Lonchura striata: one gene and its partner. The protein of the gene in region 1 purifies or fractionates together with the protein of each later gene. This does not show direct contact. Links are inferred from orthologs where the notes say so. Each region holds a gene or a part of one and is shown on either strand. Other genes may lie near its edges.

Region 1 (7,976 bases):
CAGAGCTCACGATACTCATTTGGGATCATTCAAGATGTAGTGCCGACAATGAAAGATCCAACCTATGATTTCTCTTCCACAATCTTTGTTGTTTTAACTAAATCAGCCAGGCTGAACAAACCTGTGATGCCACAAGGCATCTGTTGGCTTATCTGAGGTCATTGTGAAGCTTGAACATTAACTCTGGGGAACAACAAGCAAAATGTGAATAAACTGAGTAAGAATTACTCTCCAAAATGTCCCAAGTTACCAGAATAAACCAGAAAGAGATATTACTAATAGAGTCTCTGTTCTGAAATATAGCGTGCTCATCAGAGGTGAGCAACAGTAACACAAGAACGGATGGGACATTCCTCACCCCTCTCCACAAATCACAATAACAAAAGTTCCCTTCTCTCTCCCCACTGAAAACAGCATTCCAGAAACTTCAGCTATGTGTAGGACTGCAGGTAAAGACACCACATGACCCCTACTGGGGAGTGGTAAACACAGAAATGTCTGGGGTAGAAAGAGACCTTAAAGCCCATCCAGTCCCACTCCCTGTCATGGGCAGGGATACCTTCCACTAGCCCAGGTTGCTCCAAGTCCCATCTAACCTGACCTTGGACACTTCCAGGGATGGGGCAGCCACAGCTGCTCCAGGCAACCTGTGCCAGGGCCTCACCAACCTCACAGCCAAGCCTTCCCTCCCAATATCCCATCTAACCTTGCTCTGCCAGTATAAGGCCATTCCCCCTTATCCTGTTCATGACCTTGTAATAAACACTAAAGAGTTGGATCACAATCATTGTCAGAAATGGCATTCTGAAATGTGCACAGAGTCAACGTTAGGAAGCAATGTCTTAGTGATTCTGATTTTCCTTGGAACGCTGACTCTCAGGATCCCTTTTCTTCATGAGGGATCAACAATTTCCAAGCTATCCTTGAAACTGAAACAATTCAGGAAAAAACCCAACTCCTTTTGCCCCCATTCCTTCTGTCATGGACCTGAAACATGAAGAGTGGAATTTGGATGAATTTCCATTACAGTGCATTCTGGAATGGAGGCCTTCCAAAAAAACTCCTGTAGAACCAAAAAATGTTAATTGAGAAAGCAGAGCAGCAATCATGCTGCAGGCCTAACATGAGCACTGTAAGTAGGTCTGACTGCTATGTGAAATGATGCCAAGCTACCCTCAGTCCCCCGAAGCAGAAGGCAATGATACAGCTCTTACCTTCCCTCAGTCTTCCACTCTGTCCACTGCCCAGTTGCAAACTTATACTCAAAGAGGTCGTTTTTATTCTTCAGGTTTGAATTGGAATAGATATCTCCAGTATAACCACCTGGACAACAACAATTCCATTAGCCTCCCAGGCAACGGAGCACACACACACACTCCCAGGCGTTGCATTAGGAGAAACTTTAGATTGCATGAAATGTTTGGCTAACAGACTACTACAGAAGGAGACTACTCTTCCACTCCTCCTAAAGAATCACTATGGCAATGAGCTTCAATAGTCTTTACTTTAAACAGAACAGCGCCATCTTTCCAAACTAAAGTTGAAATCACAGCTATGAAAAATACTGGATTTGCTACTGAATGAGACCTCTGACACCTCCTAAAGATCTCTCATTCTTTTTCCAAACCAGTACAGCAGCACATCTACCACTTGTACTACAGCCTGCTGCTGCCTTACCAAAAACGAACATGCTGCTCCCGTAGACCACAGCGGAGTGGTGGTACCGTGGTGCCGGCGGCGTCCCCGTCGTGAAAGCCCTGCACAAGTCACAACAGCAGCAGTCAAACACACTGGTTGTGCTTTGGGCACAGAGCTAATGTGCAGACTAAGAAAAGAAACAACTATTAGAAATTATTCTTTTGCTCCTGAGTGTTTCACTGGTTTTGGATAGTTGATTGCACTAAGATTTTATAGAACAGAAATAAATGGTTACGAACATGCTGCTGCTGAAATCTATTTGGCAGAGCTGGAAAGTGAGACACAAGTGAGATAAGACAGGCTGCCTACTGCAGAGCAAAGGAGCCAAGAAAGGTGTGAGGACCCCTGGCACCTTCCCTGGCCCGAGAGGTGCAGCACACCCAGTCCCTCTGCCCTCCCACAAGCTGCAGGAACAGAATGACCCTGGTCCTCCCTCGCTGTGCTGCCCGGCCTCCCCTCGGGCAGGATCGACAACCCCGATGGCCCAGCACACAGCAGGCTGGCAGGGAGCAGCTGTGACAGTGCTGGGAGGAGGTGACATTTCCTCTCGGGTACTCAGGTAGCGGCACAAACTTTTACACCCAGCCCAAGGTGCTGAGGGAAGCCACGGCGTGTCCCGGTCCTGCCAGCGACCAGGGACGGCGAGGGGCCGCGCTGCCCACCTGCACCACGAGCAGTCCTTCACGTCGAAGCGCAGCAGGTCGTTCAGCATCGTCTTCCTGCGGGGAGGGACGGGAGAAGCAGCTGAGCCAGGCCGGGGGCCGGACAGGGGCGGCCACGGACCCCTCACACCCATCTCCCCTCACACACCCACCACCCCTCACACCCATCTCCCCTCACACTCACCTCCTCTCACACCCCTCACACCCATCTCCCCTCACACCCACCTCCCCTCACACCCCTCACACCCACCTCCCCTCACAACTCCGTTCCCCTCACACCCATCTCCCCTCACACTCACCTCCTCTCACACCCCTCACACCCATCTCCCCTCACACACCCACCACCCCTCACACCCATCTCCCCTCACACACCCACCACCCCTCACACCCATCTCCCCTCACACCCATCTCCCCTCACAACTCCGTTCCCCTCACACCCATCTCCCCTCACACCCACCTCCCCTTAACCCCGGCGCTGCCGGCTCCCCTTACCCGTTGTCCCCGCCGAACACGTAGATCGCATCCCGATAAGCCACCACAGTGTGTTTGCTGCGCCTGCGGGCGGCACGGACAGGTCAGAGGCGCCGGGAGCCCCCCTCCAACCATCCCGTCCGCTCCCTAGCTCACCGGGCCCCCACGAACTCGTCGCAGGGTGGGAGGCGGCGCCAGCGGTGCACGGTCTCGAAGGGCCCGAAGTTGAGGGTTAAGTACTCGACGCTGTCCGAGCAGCTGTGGTCGAAGTCCACGCTCGGGGCCACCTTCGAGCGCCCCGCGCCGCCCGCCGGGGCCGCGGCCGCCGCCATGGCCCACGCCTGCCCCCTTAGACTACAGCTCCCGGCATGCCCCGCCCCGCGCGCCCGCCTTCCGGCGCGCCTGCGGTCCAGCAGCCAGACCACAACTCCCGGCGTGCCCCGCGCCCGGCGCAGCGGCCTGGCAGCTGCCGAGCCCTGGACTACAGCCCCCAGCATGCACCGCTAGAGGGGCGGGCGGCCCGAGCCAGCCGGTACGGGCGCTGAAGGGCGGGAAGCCGGGCGGGATGCTACACTACTAGAGTTGATTTGTTAATTCAAAAAGCTCCACTCCCAAAAAAGAACAGTACTGATGAAAATGCATAAAGTCTCGCTCCAGGGTCCGAGCTGGCGGTCGCTGTTTTAACACGGTCCGTGAGGGCCGGAGCTCCGCGGTGCGCTCCGGAGTAAACAGGGAGCAAACATGGTCAGCTCATACCCACAGGAGTCCCGAGCGGGATGTGCGTGCCAGGCACCACGGCAGCAGTGGCATGTGCCCTCGGCTGTGCAAAGCCCACAGCCCATCCTTTGTTTTCCTCAGTTTATGTTTCTTAAAACGGTGTCAGTCACCTCTATGACTATTATTGCAACACCAGACAGCACAATGGTGCTGCGCCTCAAAACCAGAGCTCAGACACTGCTTCAGAGTCCAGCAGTTTCCATCCTGAGCCATCACTGTGCTACTTGTCAGAGGTTTTTTCGCACAATCCCTCCAGCAAACACAATCCTTGTATAAAGACACATCACAGAGTGAGCTTCAGAATTTTTTTAGGAAAGATGACTGGTTAAGCAGAAAAGCAACAAAGTCATGAGCACCAGCAGGACTCAGCTGAGGCCCCTCAAACCATCTCCCTTGTGCACTCTCTCAGTTCGTATCCAGCCTCTTCCTAGGGATTGCTCGAGTCACAGCATTTCTTGCCAAGACCACCCTGCACACGGTGAGGGTTGCTGCACAACCACACCATCCCTGTGCCAGTCCTGCCCCTCGGGCTGGTCCCAAGCTTCAGCTGCCATGCAGCAGCACCATGCCCAGCCAGCTCAGGCTGCATCTGGCAGAGGATGGAGGGGGGACAGTGCAGAGCACCAGTTCAGCCAAGAGGAACAGCCTTCCCACTTCTCAAGCAATCTGTAAAAGACACAGTGCCTTTGTTCTGTCCACCTGTACTGTGGGAAACTCAGGTAAGTAATCTTTAGACGTAGAGACAATGCCACTTACCCCCCATCCTTCCCTTCTCACACTCGTTTAAAAAAAACACTGATAACTGCAAATCAAAGCTGGTTTTACCCAAAATATGGATGAGTTCCAGCAGGAATATGGCACTGACCCATCCATCTTTTGGAACTTACAATGACACAGGCACCTTTAGATGTTTCAGTTCAGTGTCAGCCTCATTTTTCATGGACTTGTTTAAATTCACCCTCTGCCCTGGCTAAAGCCCCCCCTGATGCACAGTATTCCAGCTCCCACTGGAGTGCACACGAACCCCCAAGCAGCACCTCTGTGAGCCCAGGCTAACCAGCCTTCAGTGTGCTGTTTACTCCTGACACCCCGAACACACCTCAATGCTTCCAGACATTGACATCCACTTTTGTGCAAGTATGGATGGCTGGGTTTGTGCCTCTGCTGCTGACACACACGGCAAAAAAAGCTGGTCCTGCCTCTTCCCAGAGCTGGGACCAATTCTTCTGAGGACATTCCTGATCCTTCTGGAACAGCCATGTGGACACACCACTGCAGCCATGAGCTTCTTGGTAGTTTCAAGACCGCACTGTTTGCTTTAACTTGTTCCTTTCAGTGGAAGCTGAGAGCAAAGGCCTCAGAACCAAACTCCTACTGAGTATGACAGGAGGGTCAGGGCACCCTGTTTGTTACATATTCCGACAGACCAGAGAATCCCCAGGGAAGAAAGACACTGAGACTCAATGGCATGGGAAGAGCTTGTACCTTATTAGACACAAAAATCAGGCTTCAAACTCTGCTTCTCATATACTTAAGCACTCAAAAATTTAAGATTGGCTCAGAGGAGTCTGCAGGGGATGGGGGGTTCCCCCTGGCTCTGCTCACTCACAGGCACAAGGTGAGACCAGTGAGAGACAGAAGGACTCCAGGTTATGGAGGTTTTGATACAATGTCGAAGCAAATGATTCCACAAAGGAACAGCAAGTGCCTTTCTTAAAAGGAAACTGTAATGGCTCAGCCCATTTTAAGCAGCAGATACATACAGCACAGGACTCCCTTTCTGTCCAGGTGACTCCCATGAAATACCCCAATATCCTCTGGCAGAACATACAGAACGTGTCATAAGGAGAAATACGTCTTTAAAAAGTGACTTCAGGAATCAAGCACAAGTTCCTTTTAAATCTGTTTTATAAGAAGGATACCAATGTACATTTTAATAGTTTTATTTCATTTTCCCCGAAAGGGAACCAAAGGCAGAGAGGTGTTGTGAGATAGATCACACTGTTCTCATGGGGAAATCAATTTGCAAATGCTATTTTGCCACTCTATAAAAATACACACGGGAGTGTGAAAAAAGCAAAGTAGTTTAGAGTGGCTGTCATTAAGTAAATCTGTTAAATACAATCAGTTTGTTTTTTTCCCCTAAAAACTGTGGCTCCTTTTGTTCCAGAAAACCAGTCTTTCATAGCCACAGGCCACAGGAACAGAAATTTAAGTGATGGCTTCCTCTGAGCATGTGCACACACAAGTGTTAGTGAAGAACTGCTCCCATGGGAGACGTGAGCGACAGAGCCCCATCCACACCAGGAAAGAAGATACACACTCAGGTTCATTGTCTCAGCTTCCCCTCCAGACTCCTGTGAACAGGCTCCATCCGATCCAGGCTGCTCTGAAAAGAGTCTGTGGTTCTATAAAAGAAGTCACGTTGTAGGATCAAGATATTTACCCTGTGTTAGGTGAGGAGGAACAGCCAAGAGGAACAACCTTCCCACTTCTCAAGCAATCCGTAAGTGATCCGGTTCCTTTCCCTGTCGAACTGTGCTGTGGGAAACTCAAAGTGCCTCTTACAGGTAGAGACAGTTTCCTTTTAAAAATATTAAGGACACATTATTTTTATCTTTAGGAACTTCTTGGAAAGTTACTGTGGAAAATGAAAGTGCTCCTGTGGTGAGACCAATGTGCAATGATCCTTTCTCAGGATTCCTTTCCTTAGCATCCTTAGATGTGCGTTAAGATGAGGCTCAAAACAATGAGGCCATTGTCAACCTGGAACAAGGCAGGCAGACACTGGAAAATGTTTTATGTCCTATCATAAAACGTGGAATTAGCCAAAAAGAACCAATTGTTCAGATCTGGCAGGTGTGGTCTCTGGAGTGGGTCTATATCCCGATGGCCTGCAGCACTCGCTTCTCGTTGTCGTTGAGGTGGTCAGAGAACATGGCATAGCAGGGCTGCTGTGCAAACTGGCACAGGAAGTCGGTGAGATAGGCCTGGGAGGGACAGAAACACCTGTCAGCACCACCCTCCTGGGAAATCCTGCTGCTTCCACGTGTCAGGAGACACAGCCCAACATGCACCAAGTAACACCCCAGGACTGAAGGGAACAGAAAGGAGTGGTGCAGGAGGAGGAGTGGAACCAGAGGGAAGGGCTGGAGCAGAGGAAAAAGGATGGGAGCAGAGGGAAGGGCCCTTCAACAGCTGCAGGTGGTGGGAAAAGCAGGAGCAAAGGGTAACACAGGGGCTGACTGAGTGGAAGCATCTCCAAGTGGAATATGAAATTCTGTCATGTTCACTCTCCAACCTACTCCTGACTTCTGCCAGTAGCAGTGAAGCTCACAGGTAGAAAAGTCTCATCCCCCTCTGTTCAAAGAGTTTTGTTCATTCACATTTCCATGTTATAAATATTAATGATAAGGAAAAATAGCTCCATAAATTCTTGGGACATTTGGCCCTTTCCAAAGTAATTTCAATTTACAGAGTGCCTTTCTGGATGTTCATGACTGGTGTTTCCAGTGCTTACATATTTGTTAAAGTACAACACTTAAAAAATTAAAGTTTATAGAGAATGATTGGAATCTGATAAAACCCCTCATTCCAGAACATCACCTGGAGATCTATTTGGTAAAGAGGGTCCTTTAATGCATCTGGATCATCTTCTTCATCATCTTCATAGTAATCTTCATCTGTCAGAGGCAAATCAGCAGGTTTTAACATCAAAAAGAGCAGACTATCTCAGAAAATTTTCTATTAAGCTACTGAAACCCAAGGATCCAAAAGTAAATAGTTTAAGCACTGCTGGGAAAAAAGAAAATTGTATCCAGAATATTCACTTCTTTAGGTCATGTGATAGAAACCACTGAAGCCCAGAACCAGGGTCAGTGGAGGCTTGAGGAACATGCAGGTGAGTCAAGCACACATGGGACACTCACAGGCAGGATTGGGAATTCCATGCACCAGGATCTTCTGCCTTAATCCCACGTGAGGGTGACACTTTGCCAGTTCTGAGCTAATGTGAGCAGCATCCTTCGCTGTTTCCCTGTAAAGTTCTCCCTTCTGAGGCTACATGAACCTGAGAGATGATGCACCTGCTCATCTCTCTATGCAGCACTTGTTCCTCAAGGTCCCTCCACAAACGAGCTCACCCATCCCTAGGACAGTCACACTGAGGTCACACTTACACCCTGAGCAGCAATTTTTTCTTTAGAAGAAATACCTGCAGAAACATCCTAGGTGTGAAGCCAGTGCAAGTATGTGGACTCCCAGGTGATTTTATTTATAATGCAGCAATTTAATCACCATGTTGCTCAAAGCCATGGCTTCTCCAGAAAGTCCTTATTCACAATCCCGGAGCAGAATTCCTCCCCCATG
Region 2 (7,400 bases), on another chromosome or scaffold:
CATCATCCATCATTCATCATCCATCCATCATAAATCCATCCATCATCCATCCATCCATCCATCATCCATCCATCCATCCATCATCCATCCATCCATGGAATTCATCCATCCATGGAATCCATCATCCATTCTCCATCCATCATCCATCCATCCATGGAATCCATCCATCATCCATCCATCCATCCATCCCTGTCCCATTTGGAAGTAAGAATTCTGGGAGAGCTCCAGGTAGAACCCATCACCCATTCCTGTCACAGTCACTGGATGAATCAGGGAATTTAAAATCCAACTCCTCACGCCAAGCTCTGAGTTAGGAATTGTGTTTTTATTCCTTTTGGCTCTTAGCTTGGTTTAAAAAAAGAACAAAAAATCTTGTTTTGAACAGGCAGTTGATGCCTCCGCCAGCTTTTCCTGTCACTGGAATGAAATCGGAATCGGAAGAAAGAAAAGGTGCGGGGTCTTTACCAGGCAACCATGGTGAGTGCAATGGGTCAAATGCCCTTGCAAGTCCAGTTTCCTTTCCCAAACCCCTTTCTAAGTCCATTTTCCTCTCCCAAATGCTGCTGGTTTTAACAAGTGGGGTTTTTTTGGCTGTTCTGTGTCAAAGTGCAAAGCAGGTGACACTGCACTGCTCTAAAATCACTCGAAAATCACTCGAAAATCACTGGTGCTTGCTGTGGTTATACACACAGGTTGCTTCTCCAAGCTTTAATAAATATCTGTGAAATCAGAGGAGTTTGATTAAAGTGAGGGACTAAAAACAGGGAGATTTAACCCGTCAGGCAGCACAGAATGTGGTTGTGCTGTGGCTTTGCATTGTGAGCAGCTGCCTCAGAGGCACTGAGGAACGTGGGGGGAATTCTGAATTCTGCTCGGGTGGGGATTTACACACATTTCTGAGAGCAGACAACACAAGTGCTGTCAGGATTTCTGTCAGGATTTCATCTTTTCTGTCACTCAGCAAGGGTTTGAACTCGGTCAGACTTGCAGCTGTTGAAATCTGCAGGCTTTCAGCTCTGCAGGGACATCACCCAGCCTGGTTAACCTTAGCTCTTCTGCAGTCTTGCTCTCCTGTTAGCTTCCTTTTGAACAAAATTTCTACTTTTTCTTTACATGTTGATCTCTTTAACGGGTGAAATTGCCCTCACTGAGAGCCATTTGCTAACTTTACCTTTTCTGTGTGTTTCTTTCTTGTTTCTCTGTTCTCTTACATGGTTCTGATGGATCACATGGCTGTTGCTGGTGCTGTTTCCTGTGGCCTTCGACCTTGGATGACCATTGGCCTTGTGACCTCAAAATGGTGTCCAACTAACAATTTACAATTAACATCTTTTTTTATTATTATTAACTCGTTTTTGGGGCATTTTATCTCTTTTTTTTTTGTTTTGTTCGTTTTGTTTTTATTTTTTTCCTTCTCGGGGGGGCTGGGGCGGGGCTTGTTTTGTTTTCCCCTCCTAGATCATCAAGCCAAGAAGATGAAAACTGCAGAGAAGGGCTTTGGATTAGTGGCCTATGCTGGAGATTCATCAGATGAAGAGGAGGAGCACGGTGGCCATAAAAACGCAAGTACTTTTTCACAGGGCTGGAGTTTGGGGTACCAGTACCCATCCTCACAACAGCGAGCTAAACAACAGATGCCTTTCTGGATGGCACCCTAAAAAAAAACAAACTGCACAAGAGTTTTCATTCATCTGGTTTTTTCCCCCCTCTAGCAATAATGCATGTGTATTCCACAATGGACTTGGCAAAGACGTGTTGTTTTTACATTTGCAGAAGCCAATTTCCCCTTGGAAGGGCTCCATTGTTTTTTAAATCCTCATTTTGGCAGTGTGGTTGTTAATTTTAAAAAGGAGTATTTGGAATAGCATCCTGACTGGGCTAATCCCTTGTGCAAGGGAGAAGTGCTGTAAAGAGGAACCAGGGAAGCCTCTTGGGCCGTATTTTTCATTTCTCCCAGATAACTGAAAGGGAAGAGTCAGTGACACTGACTTCACTCTGCATTTGCATTTTTGGAGTGCTTCTGCTGTCAGCCCCAGTGATCTACTGGTGACTCAGCCTCAATTTTGGACTTTCACCAGAGGGAAGGAACACCCAACCAGCAGCCGCGAAAAACTTGAGCATCACATTTGGAAAAGCCTCGTTTTTATTTCAAACATCTGTCACTCCGCTTGGTTTTATTTTGAGACGTGATTTCACCAATCCCACGAGTTCTCGTTCTAGCCAGGTGTTGGGGCGGGGGGATGCTCAGGTTTTTGGATAGGTCCACGTCGCTCCAGGTGGACTTGGCACTACAGCCCTAGAGCTGAATTATTTCCAGTCACCCCAGGACTCAAACCAACCCAGCAGCAATTCCTTTTCCAGAGGCTCGCCCCCATCTCTTCCCTCATTCACTGGATTCCACCAGAGCCAGAAGGTTCCACGGTGGTTTCCCAAAAGGCAGCAGCTCCTGCCTCACGTGCAGAAGAATTTTGAGTATGAAAATGAATTTTTGGGTTGTTTCTGCGCTGTTTTGGACACAAACTGCACCGGGGGGTGGGCTGGTGCAGACAGAACTCTTGAACAGAGCAGGGGCTGCTCCAAGGGGGCTGCTCCAAGGCACGGGGCAGTTTTTGGGACATGTTTTGAGGAGGGATGGCTCGCCTGTACAAACCTCAGCTTTCCGACGCGTTGTAAATAATTAGAACCGTACTTTGGTTATAAATAAATGTATAAATATTCTGCTCCCTGCCGCTGCTTTGAGGTTGGAGTGGGGTTTGGAGGAGGGAGACGCTGGGCTGGGAGAGCCCCGGGGCGGGGAGGGGATCCGGGCTCGGGGTGCCCCAGGATCGGGGGAGCCCCGGGGGGCCCGGGCTGGGGGTCGGTGTTGGGGGGTCCCTGGGGATTGGGGACGGGGAAGGAGTCGCAGGCTGGAACGGGAGCGGGACGGGAGTCGAGGGGGTGCGGGGCCGGAGGGTGTCCCGGTGTGTCCCGGTGTGTCCCGTCCTGTCCCTGCCATGTCCCGGTGTATCCCGTTGTTTCCCCGTCCTGTTCTGTGCTGTCCCCGCTGTGTCCCGGTGTATCCCCGTGCTGTCCCGGTTCTGTCCTGGTGTATCCCCACCATGTTCCAGTTGTGTCCCGGTTCTGTCCCGTCCCGATGTGTCCCCGCCGTGTCCCGGTTCTGTCCCGTCGTGCGCTGTCCCCACCGGGCTGCCGTCGCTCCCGCCATGTCCCGGTTGTGTCCCAGTTGTGTCCTGCGCTGTCCCGTTCTGTCCCGGTTCCGTCCCGCGCTGTCCCGGTTCTGTCCCGCGCTGTCCCGGTTCTGTCCCGGTTCCGTCCCACGCTGTCCCGTTCTGTCCCGGTTCCGTCCCGCGCTGTCCCGATTTTGTCCCACGCTCTGTCCCGTTCCATCCCGCGCTGTCCCGGTTCTGTCCTGTGCCGTCCCGCTCTGTCCCGGTTGTGTCCCGTGCCATCCCGCGCTGTCCCGTCCCGTCCCGCGCCGTCCCGCGCTGTCCCGGTTGTGTCCCGGTTCTGTCCCGCTCTGTCCCGTCCCGCGCTGTCCCGGTTGTGTCCCGGTTCTGTCCCGCTCTGTCCCGTCCCGCGCTGTCCCGGTTCGTCCCGCGCTGTCCCGCGCTGTCCCGGTTCTGTCCCGGTTGTGTCCCGGTTCTGTCCCGCTCTGTCCCGTCCCGTCCCGCTCTGTCCCGGTTCTGTCCCGGTTGTGTCCGGGTTCTGTCCCGCTCCGTCCCGCTCTGTCCCGCTCTGTCCCGTCCCGCTCCGTCCCGCGCCGTCCCGCGCTGTCCCGGTTGTGTCCCGGTTCTGTCCCGCTCTGTCCCGTCCCGCGCTGTCCCGGTTCGTCCCGTGCCGTCCCGCGCTGTCCCGTTCCGTCCCGCTCCGTCCCGTCCCGTCCCGCCCCGTCCCGCGCTGTCCCGGTTGTGTCCCGGTTCTGTCCCGCTCTGTCCCGTCCCGCGCTGTCCCCGCCGGTTCGTCCCGCTCTGTCCCGCGCTGTCCCGGTTCTGTCCCGCTCTGTCCCGTCCCGCTCTGTCCCGCTCTGTCCCGGTTGTGTCCCGTGCCATCCCGCGCTGTCCCGGTTGTGTCCCGCGCTGTCCCGCTCTGTCCCGCTCTGTCCCGGTTGTGTCCCGTGCCATCCCGCGCTGTCCCGGTTGTGTCCCGCGCTGTCCCGCTCTGTCCCGCTCTGTCCCGGTTGTGTCCCGTGCCATCCCGCGCTGTCCCGGTTGTGTCCCGCGCTGTCCCGCTCTGTCCCGCTCTGTCCCGGTTGTGTCCCGTGCCATCCCGCGCTGTCCCGGTTGTGTCCCGCGCTGTCCCGCTCTGTCCCGCGCTGTCCCCGCCGGGCCGCCGTCGCCGGGCCGGCCCGCGCGCTGAGGGCGGAGGCGCCGCCGCCATTTTGGCGGCGCTGCGAGCGGGGCCGGGCGGCGCGGAGGGGCCGGCGATGGAGCCCGCAGCCCGCCCGGGCGGCGGCGCGGGCCAGTCCCGGGAGTACAAACTGGTGATGCTGGGCGCGGGCGGCGTCGGCAAGAGCGGTGAGCGCGGGGCCGGGCCGGGCCGAGCCGGGCCGGGCCGAGCCGAGCCGGGCCGGGGCGAGCCGAGCCGGGCCGGGCCGGGGCGAGCCGCGCTCCGCACCACGGCCCCGGTCTGGGCGCGGCGCCGCTGCTCCCGAGAGGGGCCGGCCCCTCCCGAGCCTCCCGGGATGTCTCCGCCGGGCTGTCCCGGCCCATCCCGGGCTGTCCCGAGCCATCCCCGTCCCTTCCGGGGTGACCCCGCCGGGCTGTCCCGGCCCATCCCGGGATGTCCCGGCTCCTCTTGGGACATCCTGGCTCCTCCCGAGCTGTCCCGAGCCATCCCGGGATATCCCGGCCCCTTCCCGTCCCTCCCGGGGTGTCCCCTCCGGGCTGTCCCGAGCCATCCCGGGATGTCCCGGCTCCTCCCGAGCTGTCCCGAGCCAACCCAGGCTGTCCCCTCCGGGCTGTCCCGGCCCATCCCGGGGTGTCCCAACCCCTCCCCAATCCTCCCGGGCTATCCCCGCCGGGCTGTCCCGGCTCCTCCCGAGATGTCCCGGCTCATCCCGGGGTGTCCCGATCCTCCCGGGGTGTCCCTGCTGGGCTGTCCCGGCTCCTCTTGGGACATCCCGGCTCCTCCCGGGCTGTCCCGACCCTCCCGGGTGTCCCCTCCCGAGCTGTCCCGGCCCATCCCGAGATATCCCGGCACCTCCCCGTGTCCCGGCTCCTCCCGAGCCATCCCCGATCCTCCCAGGGTGTCCCACCGGGGTGTCCTGACCCATCCCGAGATATCCCGACCCTTCCCGGGCTGTCCCGAGCCATCCCGACCCCTCCCCGTCCCTCCTGGCGTGTCCCCGCCAGGTTGTCTCGGCTCTTCCCGAGATGTCCCGGCCCATCCCGGCATGTCCCGGCCCATCCCAGGATGTCTTCTCCGGGCTGTCCCGACCCCTCCCGGGCTGTCCCGGGCCTTCCCGGGCTGTCCCGGGCCCCGCCTGCCGGTGTCCCGGAGCTGGTCCCGCCTGGGTGCGGGTGGAGCATCCCCGGGCCGGTTCTGTGCCGTGGCTGCGGGGTAAGCATGCGATCAGCTGTGAGCTGGGCTGCTCAGTTCTTCCCCGCTTTCTTCTTGCAGCCATGACCATGCAGTTCATCAGTCACCGCTTCCCAGAGGACCACGACCCCACCATCGGTGAGGAAAACGTCTTTTCTGTTCACTCGTTCTGTTCGTTCAGTGCAGTCCATTGCTTTAAAATATTCAATTGTAAGATATCTCTAAATCTGCCTGGAGATGGATCTTTGATCCCTCATCAGGACGAGCACTCCCAGCAGGTCAGGGAGGGATCCAGGGAGTGCTGAGCCTCTGGAGTGCCGTGTCCAGCTCTGGGACCCTGAGCACAGCAGGTCAGGGAGCTCCTGGAGGGGCTCAAAGATGCTGAAGGGCCTGGAGGGTCCCTGCCCAGGAAAGGCTGAGGGAGCTGGGGCTGCTCAGCCTGGAGAGGAGCCCCAGCTGAGAGGGGCCTCAGCCCTCAATGGCCCTGGGTGTCCCCGATATCCCTGGGTGTCCCTGGGTGTCTCTGGCTGTCCCTGAGTGTCCCTGGGTGTCCCTGTGTGTCCCTGAGTGTCCCTGGGTGTCTCTGAGTGTCCCTGTCTGTCCCTGGGTGTCTCTGGGTTACTGTGGGTGTTCCTAGGTGACCTCAGGTGTCTCTGTGTGTCCCTGGGTTTCCGTGGATGTCCCTGGGTGTCCCTGGGTGTGTCTGGATTTCCGTGGGTGTTGTCCCTGTGTGTCTCTGGCTGTCCCTGTCTCTCTCTGGGTGTCCTTGGCTGTCTCTGGATGTCTCTGGGTTTCCATGGATGTCCATGAGTGTCCCTGGCTGTCCTGTGTGTCCCTGTCCATCCCTGGCTGTCCCTGTGTGTCCCTGGCTCTCCCTGTCCATCCCAGTCCGTCCCAGTCCGTCCCAGTCCGTCCCAGTCCGTCCCAGTCCATCCCAGTCCGTCCCTGTCCATCCCAGTCTGTCCCAGTCCATCCCAGTCCGTCCCAGTCCGTCCCTGTCTGTCCCAGTCCATCCCAGTCTGTCCCTGTTCATCCCAGTCATTCCCTGTCCATCCCAGTCCATCCCAGTCCGTCCCAGTCCATCCCAGTCCGTCCCAGTCCATCCCAGTCCATCCCAGTCCGTCCCAGTCCGTCCCAGTCCATCCCAGTCTGTCCCAGTCCGTCCCAGTCCGTCCCAGTCCGTCCCAGTCCATCCCAGTCTGTCCCAGTCCATCCCAGTCCATCCCAGTCCATCCCAGTCCATCCCTGTGTCCCCAGGCCCTGCCCCAGCCCCAGCGCTGCCCCAGAGCCCCGGGCAGGGCCGAGCCCAGGAGCTGCCCCTGCCCAGGAGGCAGAACTGCTGCCCTGGGCAGTGCCAGCCCTGGGCAGAGCCCGGAGAGGCTGCGGAGCGTCCAGAGCCGCCTGGCCACCGCCCCGTGCCCCGTGCCCCGTGCCCTGCAGGTGATCTGATCTGCTGTGCTCCCTTCCAGCCTGAACCCTCTCGGTGCTTCTGTGATTTCAGGCTTCTGAGAGTGGGGTGTGAATCCTGAGTTTCAGTTCTTTACTCATTTTCCATCCATCCACTCAGGGCATGCCCTGTGTCTGTCTGTTGGCAGCCAGGGCTTGAAACTGCTGCTGAGCCATTTTTAGTTGTCTGCTCACAAAATCCAGACTCTGTGCTGTGATCAGCTCTTTGCTGTTCACTTGTCAGGCCAAATTGTTCTCTGTGTTTGAGAAATTGAGAGGGGTGGAAGTGCTCAACGACTCACTCTGGTGCTGTAGAACCTCAGCAGCATCTCCAGGAGAAACCTGAACCAACAGTTACCCAGTGGAAGGAAAAGTGAGGGTAAAAAAGCCAAATTCTTGCTGAGAATGAGTTCCTA

What was found.
Region 2: the proteins of LZTR1 (region 1) and RIT1 purify together in Homo sapiens (affinity purification with mass spectrometry; 3 studies listed by BioGRID and IntAct, counting the BioPlex papers as one, with this or other methods). This does not show direct contact. The link is inferred for Lonchura striata from reciprocal best matches to the Homo sapiens genes LZTR1 and RIT1.

What each region holds. Positions count from the first base shown.
Region 1 is NC_134632.1:344,388-352,363, forward strand, and holds the start of LZTR1 (leucine-zipper-like transcriptional regulator 1), read right to left. Parts: upstream 3,212-7,976; 5' UTR 3,164-3,211; coding exon 2,988-3,163; intron 2,916-2,987; coding exon 2,853-2,915; intron 2,418-2,852; coding exon 2,361-2,417; intron 1,758-2,360; coding exon 1,678-1,757; intron 1,324-1,677; coding exon 1,215-1,323; intron 1-1,214. Other genes in the region: IPO9 (importin-9), read right to left, coding at 6,488-6,598, 7,215-7,291. UniProt on the Homo sapiens protein: Substrate-specific adapter of a BCR (BTB-CUL3-RBX1) E3 ubiquitin-protein ligase complex that mediates ubiquitination of Ras (K-Ras/KRAS, N-Ras/NRAS and H-Ras/HRAS).
Region 2 is NC_134635.1:2,021,752-2,029,151, reverse strand, and holds the start of RIT1 (GTP-binding protein Rit1), read left to right. Parts: upstream 1-4,392; 5' UTR 4,393-4,423; coding exon 4,424-4,514; intron 4,515-5,619; coding exon 5,620-5,676; intron 5,677-7,400. Other genes in the region: KHDC4 (KH homology domain-containing protein 4), read left to right, coding at 386-477, 1,459-1,658.